Saccharomyces cerevisiae S288C: one gene and its partners. Changing the gene in region 1 together with any one later gene gives a genetic interaction. Each region holds a gene or a part of one and is shown on either strand. Other genes may lie near its edges.

Region 1 (9,126 bases):
TGACATATAAATGGTTGTTGGCAGCGAATTTAACAACACTGCAGATGTAGATGTCGTAGCTATCCTTCTCACGTTGTTGAATGCTGACTATTTTGTTATTAAGCAACGCCTTGTTAGTGCTTGTTTTACAAAGCGTATTAAATGGTATTTTATTTATGCTATCGCTTTATTATCTTTATTTTCATCACGTAACACGGTGTGTGCGCCATATTAATGTTGCAACAGTCGTGAGGTGATTAACAAACAGTATCAGACTAAACTCACCCTTTGGTGATATGCAATTTCTTGAGGCGCAAAAGGTTGATCCTGAAAGCTTTTGTGATAGACTACCTTCAAGCAAAGCGAACGTAAACGGCAAAGATGGATACCAGCAACCACAACCAAGACCACGACTCCCACGTGGCGGCACAGAGGGAGAACGACAATAATTATATGCCACCTTCCCCCTCCATGAGCGAGAGTTCTATGATTTTTGAAAGAAATGTAGAGGACCCATCATACCTTTATAAAACGGTGTCAAACAACGCTGCAAACTCTCTCTCTAGGCAGAGCAGCAGGACCAGTTTGTTCAATCATAATAATTCTAGTAATAGGAACTTCCATAACTTAAGCCAGAGATCGTCTGCTGTGAATCTACATTTGCAACCTTCTAGGACTAATGAGTCAATAGCATCGTACCAGACATACAATCCGGATTTTGTTGTGCAGACTCCACTGGATCACCGTCGTACCTTAGAGAATTTCGTCCCTCCTGCATTAGACGCTGGCTGTTCTATTGTAACTGACGACACGACTGGCCTTGATGACGTTGATATGGTTTATTCGAGAAGGCCATCTACCATCGGCCTGGATAGAGCCCTAGGTAGGACAAGAAGTCTTTCGTCACAATCTTTTGATAACGAAACGTCGCCTGCGCATCCAAGATCTCCCAACGACCATGGTTCAAGACTACTAAGGTTTTATTCCTACGCTGACATGTTGTCCGATGACAACAATAACAACGTTAGTAATGCGACATCAACATCATCAACTGCGAACCCCTTGAGAAGACCCCCAATGCAAGGTCACTACTCGTTCTCGTCGTCCCTTTTGAATTCTCCTTCTCATTTGCCTTCCCCCCCATCAGCTTCGGCATCACCACCTCAGCATATGAACTTCACCAACCCTTTCATCATATCTAGACGTTACTCTAACACAACGATCAACAATGCCAATGGGGGAACCAGCGCTGGAAGCACTACGGGGGCCGCACTATCAAGATCGCCATCGAACCAACAGTACTTACTTAAACAACAAAGGTCACCTTCAGGGAGCGCCCGTTCAAGAAGAAACAGCAATAGGCCCGGCAGTGCTGCCAACATTATGATCGGGAAACCTAAATCCAAATTCCATATGGAATCCAGTGGCAGTGAAGGGTTTTCTTCCGAAGAGGAGGACAACACTATGATTGAAAGAGATAAACTCAATCTAAAGCAAAAATTGCAGTCACAACTGGCACAACCACCATCAATTGCCAACATGGTTAACGATAATCACAATAATACTAATAAACACAAGAATACTATTAATAATAACATCAAAAATAGCCCTGCGTTCACAAACTCGAATCCAAGTTCAAAATCAAATTCAAACTCTACAATAACCTCTATGAATCCAGACACAACCAAATAAAGAAAACTGAAGGGCCGCGATTGTTCATTTCTTCAACCTTCTTCTCCTACTCTAAAAATTCATTTAAGTCTCTTTTTTCCATATATATAGATATATAACGGTATTTTATGTATGCACGTATACCCCAATAATGCCACTAATTTACTCCGTTTTCCAATCCATAATCAGCAAAGACCATATGTGATTTCAAATATAAAAAATGAGAAACATGTGAATATGTATATATGTTATGCGGGAACCAACCCTTTACAATTAGCTATCTAACTAGTCCTTTTTCGAGCTCCAGAATTTACCATCACCCTTATCATTCCATTCTTTGAATTTGTTCTTGGCTTCATCGTACTTTTTCAACGCTTCATCGTACTTCTTTTGGGCCTCATCTTTTAAAGCCTGCTTGTCATTGTCGACCTTGGAAGTCCATCCAGACCACCAGTGGCTGCCGTACTGTTTCAAGTCCTCCTTCGCCTTAGATAACGAGTCCATGGCATCGGACACGTTCTTATCCAGTTGTTTCTTTGAATTCTCATAATTCCATCTTAAATCGTCCATTTCGTCCTTGGAAAGTTGAGCGGCTGTTTCACCCCATCCTTCTAAACCTCTGGCTACCCGTTCAGCAATCTGTTGCTCGCTTTGCTCCCCTTTGTTGTAACCAAACCAGCCCTTTTCCTTGATCTTCTTCAGCTCGTCAAGACGTTTTTGCGCCTCGCTTGGCTCTGAAGAAGCATTTCTCTTGGCTTCCTCCAACTCTTCTCTACCAAACTCCTGTGCCGTATCACCCCAGCCTTGGACACTTCTTGCAGCGGCTTCTTCAGTATTAGCGTCACCCGTGTTATTCTTCAACAGGCGTTTCAAAGGATTACTGTTCCTTTCCTGTTGGTCTAGCTTGTCCGAAAGCTCATTAAAGTCTCTGGCTCTCCCGTACCTTTCGTACTCAATGGATGCTCTGTCCAGAGCGGCCTTCTTCTCTCTCATCACCGTGGACAAGAGCTCCTTCTCATTACGATCCACTGCCTCTTCGAAACGCTTCTTAGCAGTATCAAATTCCCCGATGGCTATGGCTTTCCTTCTTTCAGCCTCACTAAACCCCCAATTGAAGATGCTTTGCGAGGAAGAATCCTTGGCTTTTTGGCCTAGCTGCTTGCGTGTCTGAGCATCCTCTTCCGGTGATATCACACGCTTAGTTACCTTTGGAGCCTCTTCCCTAGCCTTTTGAGATACGCCCAGAAGCGCGTCTTTTAACGACAAGGCATCTTCCTTTATGCCTTGCTTTATGTTATGTAGCTTTCCCAACTGTGGGGGTGCTGAACTGCCGTACTCCTGGCCGTTGTAGTAAGCGGAGACGTTGCCCTCTCTTCTCTGACCCTTGGCCTTCTGTTCTCTGACCATGATGCTAGCTGTGATGGCAGCTGCCAATGCTGCACTGCCGACAATTATTCTTGATGACATCCTTATCTGCTTGTTTTATTAAATGATTAACGTTACTGGCCAATCAAAAATACCCTTTATTTCAAGAAAGGGCAAAGAAGCAGGACTTTAGCAAGAACCGTTTCCCCTTATATATACTCCTCTTCAAGGAACTCGACAAAATAAGGGTCAACAAACTCCTCCCTTAACCCACACGGGCCACCGGCGAGCTTGTGCTCCTGCGAATAGCAGTACACTATTGGTTGTTGCAAATCCTGACGATTCACTTTCAAACACCATGCAGGCAGGAGAGTCAAACAAGACTGTTTGCTGTGTTATTGTCACCGCTGATGGTTGTGATGACCACCGCTTACCTATGACGAGGGGCAACGTCTTCACATTTCATGTTTACCACCAATATGCCAATTATTTTAAGAAATCTGCATAACAGAAGGACGCCAGCTGGCCATAGCATTTATAGATTCCTGCATTAATGTAACCGTCCGCACACCGTATGTATCAGCTTGTCAATTATTATATGAAATGTATATATATTTACGAACTTCAATTTTGTCAACATATTTCTGGAACAAGACTGGCTGGAACGGCTCAGCACACACAGGACAGAATATCAAAATTCTCGAGTACTTTGAGAACCCCCTTCAAGTGAGGTACCACCCTTGGTTGTAGTCTTGTATATTAATCCTTCTTTTCTTTAGTATAAATCGATCCTTTCTATTATACAATTCGCCGGTAATTTTTCAGTGAAAAACGAGTTTTGCAGTCAAACCATTCCTGGATGTGCTATACAAAAAAAAGGTCCGAAGACGTGTAAAGGATATATAACGCCAGGTTGATCATCACTAACCATCATGTCTGATAATTTGTTATCTTTAGAGAATCCGGTGGTGCCTAGTCACTATGAGTTGCGTCTAGAAATTGACCCTAAGCAGTCGTCGCCCAATTTCAAAGGATCCGCCATAATCCATTTGAAATTCAATCCGAACTCCACCACCTTAGCTTCTATCGAAGACAGTTTTACCCAGTTCAAGTTACATTCCAAGGATTTGATTGTGTTGTCTGCACATGCCACCATAGGGTCTACTAAGTTTGATCTAAAAATTTCTCAGGACACTGGAAAGCATTTGTCGATTTTCAACTCTGAATCTCCTATTCAATTGTCCAACGATTGCCCTCTGATTTTGTCCGTGCAATACGTGGGTAAAATTCGTGACATAAAAACACATCATGATAAGACTTTTGGTATTTTCAAAACCAATTTTATGGATCGTAAAACCGGTACTGCCAATAATCACGTCGTTGCTACTCACTGCCAACCGTTTTCCGCTAGCAATATTTTCCCATGTATTGACGAGCCTTCAAACAAGTCCACTTTTCAATTGAACATTGCAACGGATGCACAATATAAAGCCGTTTCCAATACTCCTGTAGAGATGGTCGAAGCTTTGGATAGTTCTCAAAAACATTTGGTGAAATTTGCCAAGACACCTTTGATGACTACTTCCGTATTTGGTTTTTCTATTGGTGATTTAGAATTTTTGAAAACGGAAATCAAGTTGGAAGGTGATAGGACTATTCCCGTTTCAATTTATGCACCTTGGGATATTGCTAATGCAGCTTTCACTTTAGATACAGTCCAGAAATATCTACCTTTGTTGGAATCCTATTTTAAATGTCCATACCCTCTGCCAAAGTTAGATTTCGTCCTACTACCATATTTAAGTGACATGGCAATGGAGAACTTTGGTATGATCACCATCCAACTAAACCACCTGCTCATACCACCAAATGCCTTGGCCAATGAAACCGTCAGAGAGCAAGCACAGCAACTCATTGTCCACGAACTCGTTCATCAATGGATGGGCAACTACATATCTTTTGACTCGTGGGAATCTCTTTGGTTTAATGAGTCTTTCGCTACTTGGTTAGCTTGCCACATACTAGAACAGAATGGTGACCTATCCCATTATTGGACCTCGGAACCTTATTTACTACAGCAAGTGGAGCCGACCATGTGCAGAGATGCAGCTGACGTTAATGGAAGAAGCATATTTCAGATTGCGCAACGGAACACTGGCATAGATTCTCAAACCTCCGATATTTTTGATCCTGAGGCATACACAAAGGGTATTATCATGCTGAGGTCCCTGCAATTGGCTACAGGCGAATCTCATCTACAAAAGGGCCTGGAAAGTGTATTTGAAGATACTAAAACATTTCATGCGAGAAGCGTCAAACCAATGGATATATGGAATCATATCGGAAAATTTTTGAAGTCTCAAAATATTACAAACTTTGTTTCATCTTGGACAAGAACGCCAGGCTTACCTGTCGTTAAGGTCGAAGTAGAAGAGAAAGACGGGAAAACGCAAACAAAATTGACTCAACACAGATTTATCAATCAATTATCTACTGAAGAAAAGGATCAGTTAGAAGATGTCCCATATCAGGTACCCTTATTCGGGGTTCTGCCAGATGGTAAAATGGATACTAAAAATGTACTATTGACGGATAGGACCTTAAAGTTCGATTATCCTATCTTAGTAATTAACCATTTAGCCCAAGGTTATTACCGCGTTTCATATGAGTCCGAAGAGTGCTATGCATTGATTAATGATAAAATAACTGAGGAGACGTTATCCGAGATTGACCTTCGGAAGATTTTCTTAGACTTGTCGCAGTTTATTGGAGATGAGGGTTTCCAGAATTCTATTCATTTGCACGGTCTCTTTAAGATACTAAACCATATCGCTTCTCCTTCCACAAAGATTGCATCAAAATATTGGGATCCTCTTTCCAAGGGGTTGGAAGTTCTGCAAACGATCGATCGTGCCAGTTTAACGAGCTCTAAATTACAATCTTTCTTAAAGAAAAAAATTGTCATTCCCCTTTTCAATAAGATTGATTGGCCCCACGGTGAATTTGATAAAAGCACAAACCCTCACGAGTTGAAAGTCATGTCTCAAGTCTTGTTTTTAAATAAAAACTCCGCAAAATGTGCTGAATTGTGTCAAATTTATTTTAAACATCTATTACAGGGCCCACGTTCGAGCGTACCGTTAGAATTAGTGAACTCAATCCTTGTCGTCGTATCGCAACATTGTGCAAACATCAAGCAGTGGAAGAAAATATTCGATTTGGTGAAACGCAGTTCCTGTACTGGTATCACAAACCATGTCATTAATATGTATGACCAAAACAGTAGCGAAACCGCCATGTTGATTCAAAACGGTGCAATAGAATCTCTTGGATTCTGTTTAGATTCTGATATCGTGAAAAAAACTTTGAATTTTATCACTTCCAATATTGAGTCAGAGGGGATGGAACTGGCATTATTCGGATTTAATTACAACTTTAAGAAGAGGCTGAACAAAAACGAGAAACCTCAAGACCAAGTCGTTCGTGAAACGATCTGGGAGTGGTATATGGGCAATTTTGACCAATGGGCACGGAAGGCTACAAGGAAAGGTACCACCACGGGGGATCATCTACACAAGGCGTTAAGGAGTATTTCCCTGATAATCTTTCAAATGTTTGTAGCAGACGAGCCACAGAAGATAGAAAAGTTTATTAATTTGGAGAAAGAGAAGTTGGGTCAAAGCTTGTTATCTTTGGACGACATCTGGGCCTCTGTCCAGCAAGATGAAGAGTCCAGAAAGACTATAAGAAGAGACTTGGCCTCCTTGGTCTGATTTTTTACAAGTATTTCAACACACTATCGTACGTAGATTTAGTAGTCTTCTAAAATAGTACTATAAACGATGTTCTCTTAGCAGAATTCGAGTTATTATTGTCATATACTACGAAAAACCTGTAGATTCAACAATAATAGGTTGGTATAAAAGAATGTAAACATAAGGAATATTAATCTAGTAATTTTTTTCTCATGAGGTTGAGAAAGCATCTAAAATAGCAATTAGCAAAATGGAGAAGATCAAAGAGAAATTGAATAGCTTAAAATTAGAATCTGAGTCATGGCAAGAAAAATATGAGGAGCTGAGAGAACAGCTCAAAGAATTAGAGCAATCTAACACTGAAAAAGAAAACGAGATTAAATCTTTGTCCGCTAAAAACGAGCAACTCGACAGTGAAGTGGAGAAGTTAGAGAGTCAATTGTCTGATACAAAGCAATTGGCTGAAGACTCCAATAACTTGAGATCTAATAATGAGAACTACACCAAGAAAAACCAGGATCTAGAACAACAGCTAGAAGACAGTGAAGCCAAACTGAAGGAAGCAATGGATAAACTGAAAGAGGCCGATTTGAACTCTGAGCAAATGGGTAGAAGGATCGTTGCTTTGGAAGAAGAAAGAGATGAATGGGAAAAGAAGTGCGAAGAATTCCAAAGCAAATATGAAGAAGCTCAAAAAGAATTGGACGAAATTGCTAATTCATTGGAAAATTTATGATTCCCATTGATAAGACTAAAATTACGGAAGATACAAACGACAAACGCGCTAAAGGCAACGGAGGTGATGATTTTATTATTGCTCACACAACTGATGTTGCTGACAGATGGCAAATCCTTTTCATTTTAGTTATTATCATTGGGTGCTTTTTGGAAAAAAGATGAACTAAGCCTCTCTTTATTTCGTCCATTTTATTCTAGCTTTTACATTATGCTTTCACCTTTACCAAAAAATAGTATGTATTTCTTTTCCCCTTGCTATAAATCAAAAGTACGTAGAAACATAAACAGGCGAGAAATACATATGCATATACGTCTACACTACTAATTTAATTTCCACTTTCTTAATATCAGTCAATCGAAACCACTAGCTTTCACACTAAGACTAGACCCTGTTTAACTAATATAAACTTTTCCAGAAAGCTAAAAAAAAGGTCGGAAAAAGAAGGTATACGTTTTTGCGACGACTGAGATCCAAGAAGAAAAAAAAAATAGTAATCGTTGCGTCAGCTTTATGAATAGATGGGTAGAGAAGTGGCTGAGGGTATACTTAAAATGCTACATTAATTTGATTTTATTTTATAGAAATGTATACCCACCTCAGTCATTCGACTACACTACTTACCAGTCATTCAACTTGCCGCAGTTCGTTCCCATTAATAGGCATCCTGCTTTAATTGACTATATAGAAGAACTTATACTGGATGTTCTTTCTAAATTAACGCACGTTTACAGATTTTCCATCTGCATTATTAATAAAAAGAACGATTTATGCATTGAAAAATACGTTTTAGATTTTAGTGAATTACAACATGTGGATAAAGACGATCAGATCATTACGGAAACTGAAGTGTTCGACGAATTCCGATCTTCCTTAAATAGTTTGATTATGCATTTGGAGAAATTACCTAAAGTCAACGATGACACAATAACATTTGAAGCAGTTATTAATGCGATCGAATTGGAACTAGGACATAAGTTGGACAGAAACAGGAGGGTCGATAGTTTGGAGGAAAAAGCAGAAATTGAAAGGGATTCAAACTGGGTTAAATGTCAAGAAGATGAAAATTTACCAGACAATAATGGTTTTCAACCTCCTAAAATAAAACTCACTTCTTTAGTCGGTTCTGACGTGGGGCCTTTGATTATTCATCAGTTTAGTGAAAAATTAATCAGCGGTGACGACAAAATTTTGAATGGAGTGTATTCTCAATATGAAGAGGGCGAGAGCATTTTTGGATCTTTGTTTTAAGTGCAAAAATGAAATTTGAAGAATGGAATTAAAATTAAATGTCTCTAAGTATAAAAACTAAATAAAATATAGGGTATCTGTAAACCACTAATAAAAAATAAAACAGGAAAATAAAATTAAGCAAAATATCGTTGCGTATAATCACAGCATTTCTGGGATGCGTCCGTGAATGTCCTTAACTTGACCAACATTGACATTACTCTTATTTGAAAAATCTACTAACCTTTTCTTACTTGGTCTTCTGTCTGGTTCCATGCTATGGACCCAGCAAAAATTTTCACCATCTTTAACCGGAACAAAATCGTCAGAAGATGAAGTTGACATTGTTGTGGGAGTGATTCCGTTTTTACCGCTTTGAGAGTCTTGAAT
Region 2 (5,437 bases), on another chromosome or scaffold:
CTATCATTTATTAACATGCTTATTTATTATACTGTTTCGATTGCAATTTCATATTGCTTATTGGTGATAACTCTCGGATCCTATGCTTGGACTAGAGGATTGACCAACCCGATTTGTTAGGATCTTTTCTTTATACTTTTCCCTGCATAATCATCCCACTTTTTTTTTTTTTTTTTTTAATTCATTTTCAAGATTTTAGACGTTGTATAATACATTTTTACCCACTACTGCGGTTTATTGTAATATTTTGTGAGATTTTATGAATGCGTTCCATCATCTATTTACTACAAAACGATAAATTTCCCCGTTTTCTTTTACTTTTACTTCATTTAATATAATTCATATTTATTTCCCATGTACCAATTAATTACTCATAAAAAGAACAGAAATAGAAAAAAGTTGTATATAACAAGCCAAAAAAAAGAAAAAAAAAGGAAAAAAAAGAAAACACAGCTTATTTCAAATTGCAATCTGCGTATTTCGTAAGTAACGAATGATCTCACAGCATTGCTTTTTTTTTTTTTTATATATATATGTACATTACCTATGTCACATATGACCATGATGAATACAACACTAAAAACCAAGGCCTACTATTCAATTGTTCTCTATATGATTTCCATTCTAGCAAAATCGAGTGCTACCGACCTGCCGTTTTCTTTACCTTTCGAACCATTGAGCTGTTAGCCTTCTCTTCACAGAAACTGAAAGTCATTAAAAGCCTCCCCTTCAACAATTCCCTTGTCTTTTGTTTCAGCTATATAATGCGTTTATAGCTCTAATTGTGGTCGAATAGGAAGAATTTGCGTTAACACCCGTAACTAGCTTTCCATCTGTAATAGAGTAGTCATCCCAGGGATGGATTGGCGCCAAGTACTTGGCTCCATTCTTGTTTGCAACGCGTTCAACCGTTGTCAATTTTCTGCTCCTCAAGATGTCGTCAACTCCCAGGGCGATTTCACCCTCGAGTGGGAAACCTGTTATAGCTTTGCCTTCGATTAATGGTCTTGTTGTTTTGATATCTATTAATCCATCGAAAAGGAGCGGTCCATGACAGATGGCAGCGATCACACCCCCATTGGCATATATCTTGGATGCAATATCTTGCAGATTTTTAGCTTTGGGATAGTCAAATAGAGCACCATGTCCAGCAGATGCAAAGAATACTTTATAGTCGCTGGCGTTGACTTCATTTGCGGTCTTGATCCTCGCTAACGCCTTATTGAAGGCGGAATTTTTCGTTTCAAAGTTCATCTTATCTTCGCCACCAATAAAGCTCTTTGGCAAGTAATGTTCATCCCAGCCAAATCCACCAGTCTCAGAAACGAAGTCCACTTCGAAACCATGCTTTTCGAATGTATCGAACGATCGCAAAATCTCAACTACAAAAACGCCTGTTTTCGCACCATCTTTGTAGAAGGGACCGTGGTATGAAGTAAGAGATATTAGCGCTCTTTTTGGAGTCATTGCAAGGCCAGTTTTCTTTTTGAATGAAGGAGAAAAGTGTTCTAGAAATATGTTTTAGTTCTAAGTATCGTTGTCTGGAGCAAGCAAAGAAAAGCAGACCTGTATGTGCAACTTTCCTGTTTTCCATTAAAATCTCAAGAACCGACCCCTTGACTGTGCTCATATATCAAGTATCGGTTTTAAAGTCCCCTAATTGTGATAATTGCAAGAACGACAGTCAGAAAGATATTTTTTTTTTTCTTTCTCTTTACCTATCCTCCATAAAAATACCTATGCTGATACTGAATATCTTCATTTGCAGCTATGCAATATTTCAGATACCCCATTTTACCCAAGAGTTTCTTACTGGTGGTTGGATTTTCTTTAAGACGAGAAGATTACCAGTCCTGGATGTTCGTGAATGTGCCTATTGCGTCATCAGCGACTCCGCGCCAAGAAAAGAAATACTCGCATGCTCGGATTTATAGAATCGCATAATGGAAATACCTTCCTTAAAGGATGGAGATAAGGAAAAAATGACAAGAACAAGGAAGTACTTGGGAGCTTTCTCCGACATGGTAAATATTTGAAACTCACGCAGCTCTCCTGGAAAGTTGGATCTGGAAAGGTAAGGTTGTTTTTTTTACAGACATCAACCAAAATCGGTTCTTGTAGTAGACAATGTCACAGATCGCCACAAGTTGAAAAAAAAGTTTCGATGAACTGGATAAGGGGAGAGGTCACAAACAAAGTGTAGGGGGTGAGTAGTATAGTGGTAACTTGTTCATTTACCTAAATAACATTCTCACTAGAAAAGAGATATTGAAAGACTCCTCGTTTACCTAACTTGGCTGGTTCTTAGGTATATAATAGAAACATGGATCTGGCAGGTTATCACTTACAGTTTGCACTCCCACCAGGTTACAATTTTCATTATATATAGTTATTTTTTACCACCACTTCTTCTTCTTTCACTTTGTCTTGCAATAGAAATACCAAAACAAGGTGAGGAAAAAATCGAATCTCAACGATAAAAATATGTCCATCACGAAGGTACATGCTAGAACGGTGTATGATTCTCGCGGCAATCCGACTGTTGAGGTTGAAATTACAACAGAGAATGGTCTCTTCAGAGCGATCGTCCCATCTGGTGCCTCCACCGGCATTCACGAAGCTGTTGAACTTAGAGACGGGAACAAGTCCGAATGGATGGGAAAAGGGGTGACCAAGGCAGTCAGTAACGTCAATAGTATCATAGGGCCTGCTTTAATCAAGTCCGAATTATGTGTAACCAATCAGAAGGGCATAGACGAGCTCATGATATCGTTAGACGGAACTTCTAACAAGTCAAGGTTGGGCGCCAATGCTATCCTTGGTGTTTCCTTGTGCGTTGCTCGAGCTGCTGCCGCACAAAAGGGAATTACTCTCTACAAGTATATAGCCGAGTTAGCGGATGCTAGACAGGACCCCTTTGTTATTCCTGTTCCTTTTTTCAATGTTTTGAATGGTGGAGCCCACGCCGGTGGCTCTTTAGCTATGCAAGAATTCAAGATCGCGCCAGTCGGGGCTCAGAGCTTTGCAGAAGCCATGAGGATGGGTTCGGAAGTTTACCATCATTTGAAGATATTGGCGAAGGAGCAATATGGACCTTCCGCTGGAAATGTTGGTGACGAGGGTGGAGTTGCCCCCGATATTGACACTGCCGAAGACGCCTTGGACATGATTGTGGAAGCCATTAACATATGCGGTTACGAGGGTAGAGTGAAAGTAGGAATCGATAGTGCTCCTTCTGTTTTTTATAAGGACGGGAAATACGACCTAAATTTCAAGGAACCGAACTCTGACCCATCTCACTGGCTCAGTCCAGCCCAGTTAGCAGAATATTACCATTCATTGCTAAAGAAATACCCAATCATTTCCCTGGAAGATCCCTACGCCGAAGATGATTGGTCCTCGTGGTCTGCCTTCCTAAAGACTGTCAATGTTCAGATTATTGCAGATGACCTGACATGCACCAACAAGACCAGGATCGCCCGTGCTATAGAGGAGAAATGTGCGAATACTCTGTTGCTGAAACTCAACCAGATCGGTACTCTGACTGAGTCTATTGAAGCCGCCAATCAGGCTTTCGATGCTGGATGGGGTGTAATGATATCGCATAGATCAGGTGAAACCGAAGATCCGTTTATCGCTGATTTGGTCGTTGGTTTAAGATGTGGTCAAATTAAATCGGGCGCTTTGTCGAGATCAGAAAGACTGGCCAAGTATAATGAACTTTTGCGTATCGAAGAGGAACTGGGGGACGATTGTATATATGCTGGTCATAGGTTTCATGATGGAAACAAACTATAAAGGATTGTCTTGTTTCCTTTTTTTTTTTTTTTTTTTTGTTTTTTTATGACTAAATAAAGTAAATCATATGAGGTTTTATTTTTTATTTCGTTGATTTGGGTTACAGTATGGAAATGGGGCATTTGACACAAGTTATTTTATTCATATGTTTTATCTTGTAGGAAATCAAACCGTTTTTAAAGTTTTCCATTGCCTACACACAAAATCATTACGAATCTGTCTGAACAAGGGTGGACGTGTGGGGGAAGGCTGTTCCAATCAAGAAATGCTTACAACTCTACTAACACTGCAGTTTTTCAGCTTTCTGATTAATCTCTTCGGTTTAAATTTTTTAGCAGCTATTACTTTCTAGTAACCCTTATAACGCGGTTGGTATCAAATCTTCCTGATAGTACAAGCAGACCTTTGACCCCATTCTTGTTGTGTCTTGAAATCTTTTTTTCTGACAAAAGTAAGAAGTTACACCATAATAGAGAAGTTAAATAATGAAAGTGTATCGATCATAGAAATGATTTTATTTTTTTCAACTACTGTTACGGTCAAGAAACTAATACTGAGGATAAGTTTTCGCAACAATGATTTTGGTACAAGTGATTTAAAGTCTTGAATTACTTCAACACAATTTGCTTTGCGACGGTTTAGAATAACGTAATCGTATCAACGAATCCACTAGGCGCGCGTAAAAATTACAGACTCTAACAATATACGACTCCCAGCACATACCTACTATTCTGTACAATTCCGGGAAATAGGAGGGTACAGTATTATTTTTTCTCGGCGATCGTTTAGGGTATACTGGAGATAGGCTTAGCAATACGCTTCTGAACGAGGATCTATAGCAACTAAATTCAGACATTCTGCTATACCAAAAAAGGAAGTATCACAGGCACGGAAAAGGGTTTTATAAGGCACCTCGGCACCCCTATAACTGGCATTCTCACATTCGGCGCATACGAATAGACAAAGGCCCCAGAAAACAATACCTTCGCATACAGAATCTATAAAGATGCATGCCTCGTTTAAAAACAAAAACATCTTCATAGTGATCATGAAGTTGTGGGAAAGATGAGATATGGAGAATATGTGAAGTGCTAAAGGAGCATCTGTTAACGAATCGTTTAAGTGGTGATGACCAATGAAGGAATAGGTATAAATAGAGATACTTCAACTATATGCCTTCGAGAATATGTCTTTATTCATTTCTTTCCTGTTAAGCTTATATCAGCACTAACAAACAAAACAAATACAATGGTCAAATTAACTTCAATCGCTGCTGGTGTTGCCGCTATCGCTGCCGGTGTTGCCGCTGCTCCAGCCACTACCACTCTATCTCCATCTGACGAAAGAGTCAACTTGGTCGAATTGGGTGTTTACGTCTCCGATATCAGAGCTCATTTGGCTCAATACTACTTGTTTCAAGCAGCTCATCCAACAGAGACCTACCCAGTTGAGATTGCTGAAGCTGTTTTCAACTATGGTGACTTCACCACCATGTTGACTGGTATTCCAGCTGAACAAGTCACCAGAGTCATCACTGGTGTCCCATGGTACTCTACCAGATTGAGACCGGCTATCTCCAGTGCTCTATCTAAGGACGGTATCTACACTGCTATTCCAAAATAGAGAGAAGCTTTTACGA
Region 3 (6,716 bases), on another chromosome or scaffold:
CAGTCATTATGCCAGACTCCAATGTTTCACATTTCACTAGAACTAAATTGGTTAGATCTATAGGTTATGTCGTTCAATGTCAAGTCTCCAACGGTCCAGAGGAGCAAGCTAAATATATTTTACAATTGACGAACCTATTGAGCGGCTCAATAGAGCATTGTTTGGCTTCATCGGTACAGTTACAAGAACAACAAGATTATATTAATTGTCTATTATACTGTATATCTGAGCTAGCAACAAGTTTGATCCAACCTACTGAAATCATCGAAAATGATGCATTACTACAAAGGTTATCTGAGTTTCAAAGTTTCTGGTCCAGCGATCCCTTACAAATCCGATCGAAAATTATGTGCACCATTGATAAGGTCTTGGATAATTCAATATATTGTAAAAACTCCGCCTTTGTGGAGATCGGTTGTTTGATTGTTGGTAAAGGATTAAATCTGCCCGACGGGGAACCGTACTTCCTCAAGTACAATATGTCTGAAGTTATGAATTTTGTTTTGCGGCATGTCCCCAACTGTGAGCTTGCTACTTGCTTGCCTTATTTTGTTTATTTATTAGAAAAGCTTATTTCAGAGTTCAGGAAGGAACTAACACCACAAGAATTTGATTTCATGTTTGAAAAGATCCTTCTAGTCTATTATGATGCATATATTATCAATGATCCGGACCTTTTACAAATGACAATAGGTTTTGTTAATAACGTTTTGGACGTGAAGCCAGGCTTAGCTATTGGCAGTAAACATTGGACATCATTTATTTTACCTCAATTTTTAAAATTAATACCTTCAAGAGAAAAGTTCACAATTGTTGCGGTGGCAAAATTTTGGACTAAGTTGATCAATAATAAGAAATACAACCAAGAAGAACTCACAACTGTTAGGCAACAAGTTTCCTCTATAGGAGGAGACCTTGTGTACCAAATTATGTATGGCTTATTCCACACACAAAGGTCCGATCTGAATAGTTACACAGATCTGCTAAGAGCTTTGGTAGCCAAGTTTCCAATTGAAGCAAGAGAGTGGCTCGTTGCTGTTTTGCCCCAAATATGTAACAATCCTGCAGGTCATGAAAAATTTATTAATAAATTACTTATTACGAGAGGAAGCAGAGCAGCTGGAAATGTTATTTTGCAGTGGTGGTTGGATTGTACCACACTTCCAAATTACCAAGGATGATTTGTTAAGAATTTCTCCGCTGAGGGTGAAGGCTATTCTTTGTTACATTTTATTTAGTAATGCGTTGATCCTTTTTGATAGATTTTTTTTTTGTGCTTTAAAGATAGTAGCAGTATATATGTGTGTAAAAGCTAATCATCAGAAGTGCAGCATTCATTGCTAGTATTTAGTGATAAAAATTTTAGAATTTCCATTTCTAATTGTAATTGCTTTTCATTCCAATACATGTTTGAGCTTCTGGGGGGTAAAAATACATTTCCAGACAGGGCGTCAGGTTGAAAGCAGTTACTGAAACATAGAGAGTCGACGTCAGGAGGAGGCTTCAAATGGTTTTCTGAAAGTGATTCGGTCTTATTTTTCCATTTTCTAAAATGGTGAATCCTTTCTCTGGAAATGTGTGATCCCTTTGCCTTTTGTGAAAACTTTTTTAACGAGCTTTTTAGGTTATTAGTTGTCTCAAGAAGGTTTATGGGCCCGCTGGTCTCGATATCTGCGTAATTTAATGGACGTATCGTGTCTTCCATGGAGTGAATTGTGATTTGTGAATTATATCTGTCCAATACCGTTGCCTTGTTGGGAGCTCAGATAGAAAAGACATCTTAATTCCAGACAGTCTATTCTCTGTCTATTTCTCTTTGTGACTGCAAATTTTAATTTGTGACGCCTTTTCTTATTACTCATGTATTTGTCACTCTTGACGATTGTTTTTTTTCTATATTTTTTTTGTTCTGGGGTCCTCCAGAGAATAAAAAATAATGATCAATATAGTAGATAGTATAGTTATATTCTTATTCGTTGCACCTTGTTTAACAAATCACTCAGACTCAAAGAGAATATCGGTTGGTTATCTCTCTCCGAAGGTGAACAGCAAACAGTACCTCACGTCTTTTTTTTGAATAGTTTTTTTTTTTGTTGAAACAGAAAAAAAACTTTCTTCCGTATATTACATTGTACATTATTTTTATTGTATTTTAGTTTCCAACGTTAGGATTTGAGCCGTCATTAATATTATTCGTTTTTGTACACTATTCCAGACGATTTATTTTTAGTACACTTAAAATTCCTGTTGATATTGTCCACTAGTTCTCTTTTCATATTTTATTTTCGCTTATTCTTTAGGTTCTTTTAAGAGTCTCTGTTCATTTTCCGTTCTTACTGTTTCTTTGTCCTCGATATCTTTTAAGAAAGAGAGAACTAAGCGCTGTAACATTTTTAAGTGGACCTACGTTATGTCTACAAAAGGTTTGAAAGAAGAAATCGATGATGTACCATCAGTAGACCCTGTCGTTTCAGAAACAGTCAATTCTGCTTTAGAGCAGTTGCAACTAGATGATCCAGAGGAAAACGCCACCTCTAATGCATTTGCGAATAAAGTTTCTCAAGATTCTCAATTCGCTAATGGCCCTCCGTCGCAAATGTTTCCACATCCACAAATGATGGGTGGAATGGGCTTCATGCCCTACTCTCAAATGATGCAGGTTCCTCATAATCCTTGTCCATTTTTTCCGCCCCCTGATTTTAATGATCCAACAGCACCATTGAGTAGCTCGCCCTTGAATGCAGGCGGTCCACCAATGTTATTCAAGAATGACTCACTTCCATTTCAAATGCTGTCTTCGGGTGCTGCGGTAGCAACTCAAGGTGGACAAAATCTAAACCCATTGATAAATGACAATTCAATGAAGGTATTGCCAATCGCATCGGCTGATCCGTTATGGACTCATTCAAACGTACCAGGATCAGCATCTGTAGCCATTGAAGAAACCACCGCTACTCTACAAGAAAGCCTACCATCTAAGGGCAGGGAGTCTAATAATAAGGCTAGTTCGTTCAGAAGACAAACTTTTCATGCTTTATCACCAACTGACCTTATCAATGCGGCCAACAATGTAACCTTGTCAAAGGACTTCCAATCTGACATGCAGAATTTTTCTAAGGCTAAGAAACCGTCTGTAGGAGCTAACAATACTGCAAAAACCAGAACTCAATCCATATCTTTTGATAATACTCCCTCCTCAACGTCATTTATACCCCCAACCAATAGTGTTTCTGAGAAATTATCCGATTTCAAAATAGAAACCTCGAAGGAGGATTTGATTAATAAAACTGCACCAGCTAAAAAAGAGAGTCCTACAACTTATGGTGCAGCATATCCATATGGGGGACCTTTACTTCAACCAAATCCTATTATGCCAGGCCACCCACATAATATATCCTCCCCTATCTATGGTATTAGATCACCTTTTCCTAATTCTTATGAAATGGGCGCGCAATTTCAACCTTTCTCTCCGATTTTAAATCCTACGAGTCATTCACTAAATGCAAATTCTCCAATTCCTCTAACCCAATCGCCAATTCATCTTGCACCAGTTTTAAACCCTAGTTCAAATTCTGTTGCCTTTTCAGATATGAAGAATGATGGTGGTAAGCCCACCACCGATAACGACAAGGCGGGTCCAAATGTTAGGATGGATTTAATAAATCCTAATCTTGGGCCATCAATGCAACCTTTCCACATATTACCTCCCCAGCAAAACACCCCCCCTCCTCCCTGGCTTTATAGCACTCCACCTCCCTTCAACGCAATGGTTCCGCCTCATTTGTTGGCTCAAAATCATATGCCGTTAATGAATAGCGCCAATAATAAACATCATGGTCGTAATAACAATAGCATGTCAAGTCATAATGACAATGACAACATTGGTAATTCTAATTACAACAATAAAGACACAGGTCGTTCTAACGTTGGTAAAATGAAAAATATGAAAAACAGTTATCATGGCTACTATAATAACAATAATAATAATAATAATAATAACAATAATAATAATAACAGTAATGCTACCAACAGCAACAGCGCGGAAAAACAACGTAAAATTGAGGAGTCGTCGAGATTTGCGGACGCAGTTTTAGACCAATATATCGGAAGTATTCACTCATTGTGTAAAGACCAACATGGTTGTCGTTTTCTGCAAAAGCAGTTGGATATTCTCGGCAGTAAGGCGGCGGACGCAATTTTTGAAGAAACTAAGGATTATACGGTTGAATTGATGACTGATTCATTCGGTAATTATTTGATCCAGAAGCTATTGGAAGAGGTTACCACAGAACAAAGAATCGTACTCACAAAAATATCTTCCCCTCATTTTGTCGAAATTTCCTTAAACCCTCATGGTACTAGGGCATTACAAAAACTCATTGAATGCATCAAAACAGATGAAGAAGCACAGATTGTTGTTGATTCTTTACGCCCTTATACTGTCCAGTTGAGTAAGGATTTAAATGGTAATCATGTTATTCAAAAATGTTTGCAAAGGTTGAAGCCTGAAAACTTCCAGTTTATCTTTGACGCAATCTCTGATAGCTGTATTGATATTGCTACTCATAGACACGGGTGTTGCGTTTTGCAACGTTGTCTAGATCATGGGACTACAGAACAATGTGACAATCTGTGTGATAAGTTGCTAGCCCTTGTTGATAAATTAACTTTGGATCCATTTGGCAACTATGTGGTGCAATATATAATTACCAAAGAGGCTGAGAAGAACAAATATGATTATACGCATAAAATTGTCCACCTGTTGAAACCAAGAGCCATCGAACTTTCTATCCATAAATTTGGATCAAATGTGATTGAAAAAATCTTGAAGACAGCTATTGTTTCGGAGCCAATGATTCTGGAAATTTTAAATAATGGTGGCGAGACGGGTATTCAATCATTGTTGAATGATAGCTACGGAAATTACGTTTTACAGACAGCATTAGACATTTCTCATAAGCAAAATGACTATCTCTATAAAAGACTATCAGAGATTGTGGCGCCTTTACTGGTGGGCCCCATAAGAAATACACCTCATGGTAAAAGAATCATCGGAATGTTACATTTAGATTCATAGTTGATACATATATCCTCAGTTTAGCTTTTTTTACGTTAGCCTCATATAATATCTTTTGTACAATACTAAAATACATCATTTTTTTTTTCGTTGAGGATCAAATGAATATCCAAAGCAAAAAAAATAGGAATTTTCACTTTATGGTATACTGGTAAATAGTGTTGAAGAAATAAGAGAAGGAGATGCCCTAGAAAACAGAATGTTCTTATTTAAATAAGTAAACTCAAAAGAAAAAAAAAAGGAAGGAAGTTTTTGAGAACTTTTATCTATACAAACGTATACGTTTAACTATCTGGATAAACGTCGCTCCACAGGATACTGTAGAGGTCCTCAAGATCACCGTTATTAACAAATTCATCTAGTGTCCCCAAATTAAAACTAGTTGCAGAAAAATTGTTACTGTTGTTGTTGTTAATATTGTTAATATTGTTTTTATTGTTGTTGTTGTTGTTGTTGTTGTTATTGATTTCATTTGTGTTCATAAATGGTACTTGTACTGAAGTGGGTATTTGCTGCTGAGCATTGATTGGTTTATTAGATTGGACTTGCGTATTATTTTGCCCATTTGTTGGTTGCGCGTAATCGGGATTGATCATATCAGACACGGATAATGACCTAAATGAAGGCAATTGTGCAAACTCCGGTAGTGAGTTGTTTCTCACTGGGGAAGGTGCTGAGCGACCATTGAATGGCAATTGAGGCGATTCAATGCCATTTAGTAAGCATGAAGTGCCCGTCTTAAGACTTGGGAGATCCGGATTCAAATTTTTTCCCGAATTATGCTTCATCTGCTTATTATCTTCATTTGACATTAGTGGTTCCTGAAACTTTCTATTTTTCAACATTTGTGAGACCGTTAAATGGAATCCTGACTTCTGAACAGGTTCTAATAAAAATCGATAAGCGCAAGAGTTTGTATCCAAGACAAGTTCTATTATACCTTTTAAATCTGGCGCATTCTCATCAATATATTTGGAGATAACATCGAGGTTGGTGCTAGAGGACTCTCCGTATGCCAAAAGCATGATACGAGTGACGATTGTCAGGAAAGAAAAAGCTCTTGTATAGTCTTTAAAGCTTTGGCTGTTGAAGACATGCTCATTGGTCTCATTTTCGGAAAAAATTTTTATATCCAAAAATCTTTTGAAGACTCTAATCATATTCACAACGTCATTTACTTTAATGAATTCGGCCACTGAGAATGCTTGTGATACCAAAATAATGCAACTGATAGAATAATGGGCGAACGAACGGTATACGGAATAATCGTTGTCAAAGTCTAATAAGATTTTGTTCATATCGGTCCATGATTTGTAAATCTTGTGAAGGTATATTTTCAAGTTTTCAATTAGTATTGAGGGCCTTCTGTGCACGCATAATCTGGCGACAATATTATCAGATTCGTTAACCATTCTGCAGAAATGGTGCTCGTAAAATAGAACAAATTTTGAAGCCATAATCTTATCCTCTCTTGAAACTTTGAGTTCAGTACTATCTTTAGAGAATGCAATATCGAACAATTTTCCAGTTTGCTCTTTGATAGCATCATATTTCATTTCTGTTTCGTTAAAAATCTCGAGTACCTCGAAGAGTAGTTTCTCTCTAACAACAGATGGTTTTGATGTATTCCTAATTGACG

What was found. A genetic interaction does not mean that the proteins touch.
Region 2: mutations in TMA108 (region 1) and ERR1 together harm fitness more than expected from each alone (negative genetic interaction), as found in Saccharomyces cerevisiae (2 studies listed by BioGRID).
Region 3: mutations in TMA108 (region 1) and PUF4 impair growth when combined (synthetic growth defect), as found in Saccharomyces cerevisiae (one study listed by BioGRID).

What each region holds. Positions count from the first base shown.
Region 1 is NC_001141.2:87,610-96,735, reverse strand, and holds TMA108 (Tma108p), read left to right. Parts: upstream 1-3,947; coding exon 3,948-6,788; downstream 6,789-9,126. Other genes in the region: YIL134C-A (uncharacterized protein), read left to right, coding at 11-214; VHS2 (Vhs2p), read left to right, coding at 361-1,671; OM45 (Om45p), read right to left, coding at 1,936-3,117; tropomyosin TPM2, read left to right, coding at 7,021-7,506; REV7 (Rev7p), read left to right, coding at 8,020-8,757; AXL2 (Axl2p), read right to left, coding at 8,899-9,126. UniProt on the Saccharomyces cerevisiae protein: Putative zinc aminopeptidase which may be involved in ribosome biogenesis.
Region 2 is NC_001147.6:1,077,792-1,083,228, forward strand, and holds ERR1 (phosphopyruvate hydratase ERR1), read left to right. Parts: upstream 1-2,484; coding exon 2,485-3,798; downstream 3,799-5,437. Other genes in the region: FEX1 (fluoride transporter), read left to right, coding at 1-120; HSP33 (glutathione-independent methylglyoxalase family protein), read right to left, coding at 754-1,467; seripauperin PAU21, read left to right, coding at 4,927-5,421.
Region 3 is NC_001139.9:463,731-470,446, forward strand, and holds PUF4 (Puf4p), read left to right. Parts: upstream 1-2,410; coding exon 2,411-5,077; downstream 5,078-6,716. Other genes in the region: KAP122 (Kap122p), read left to right, coding at 1-1,181; BIL2 (Bil2p), read right to left, coding at 1,313-1,705; drug-responsive transcription factor PDR1, read right to left, coding at 5,362-6,716. UniProt on the Saccharomyces cerevisiae protein: Is not essential for haploid growth, but may affect diploid formation.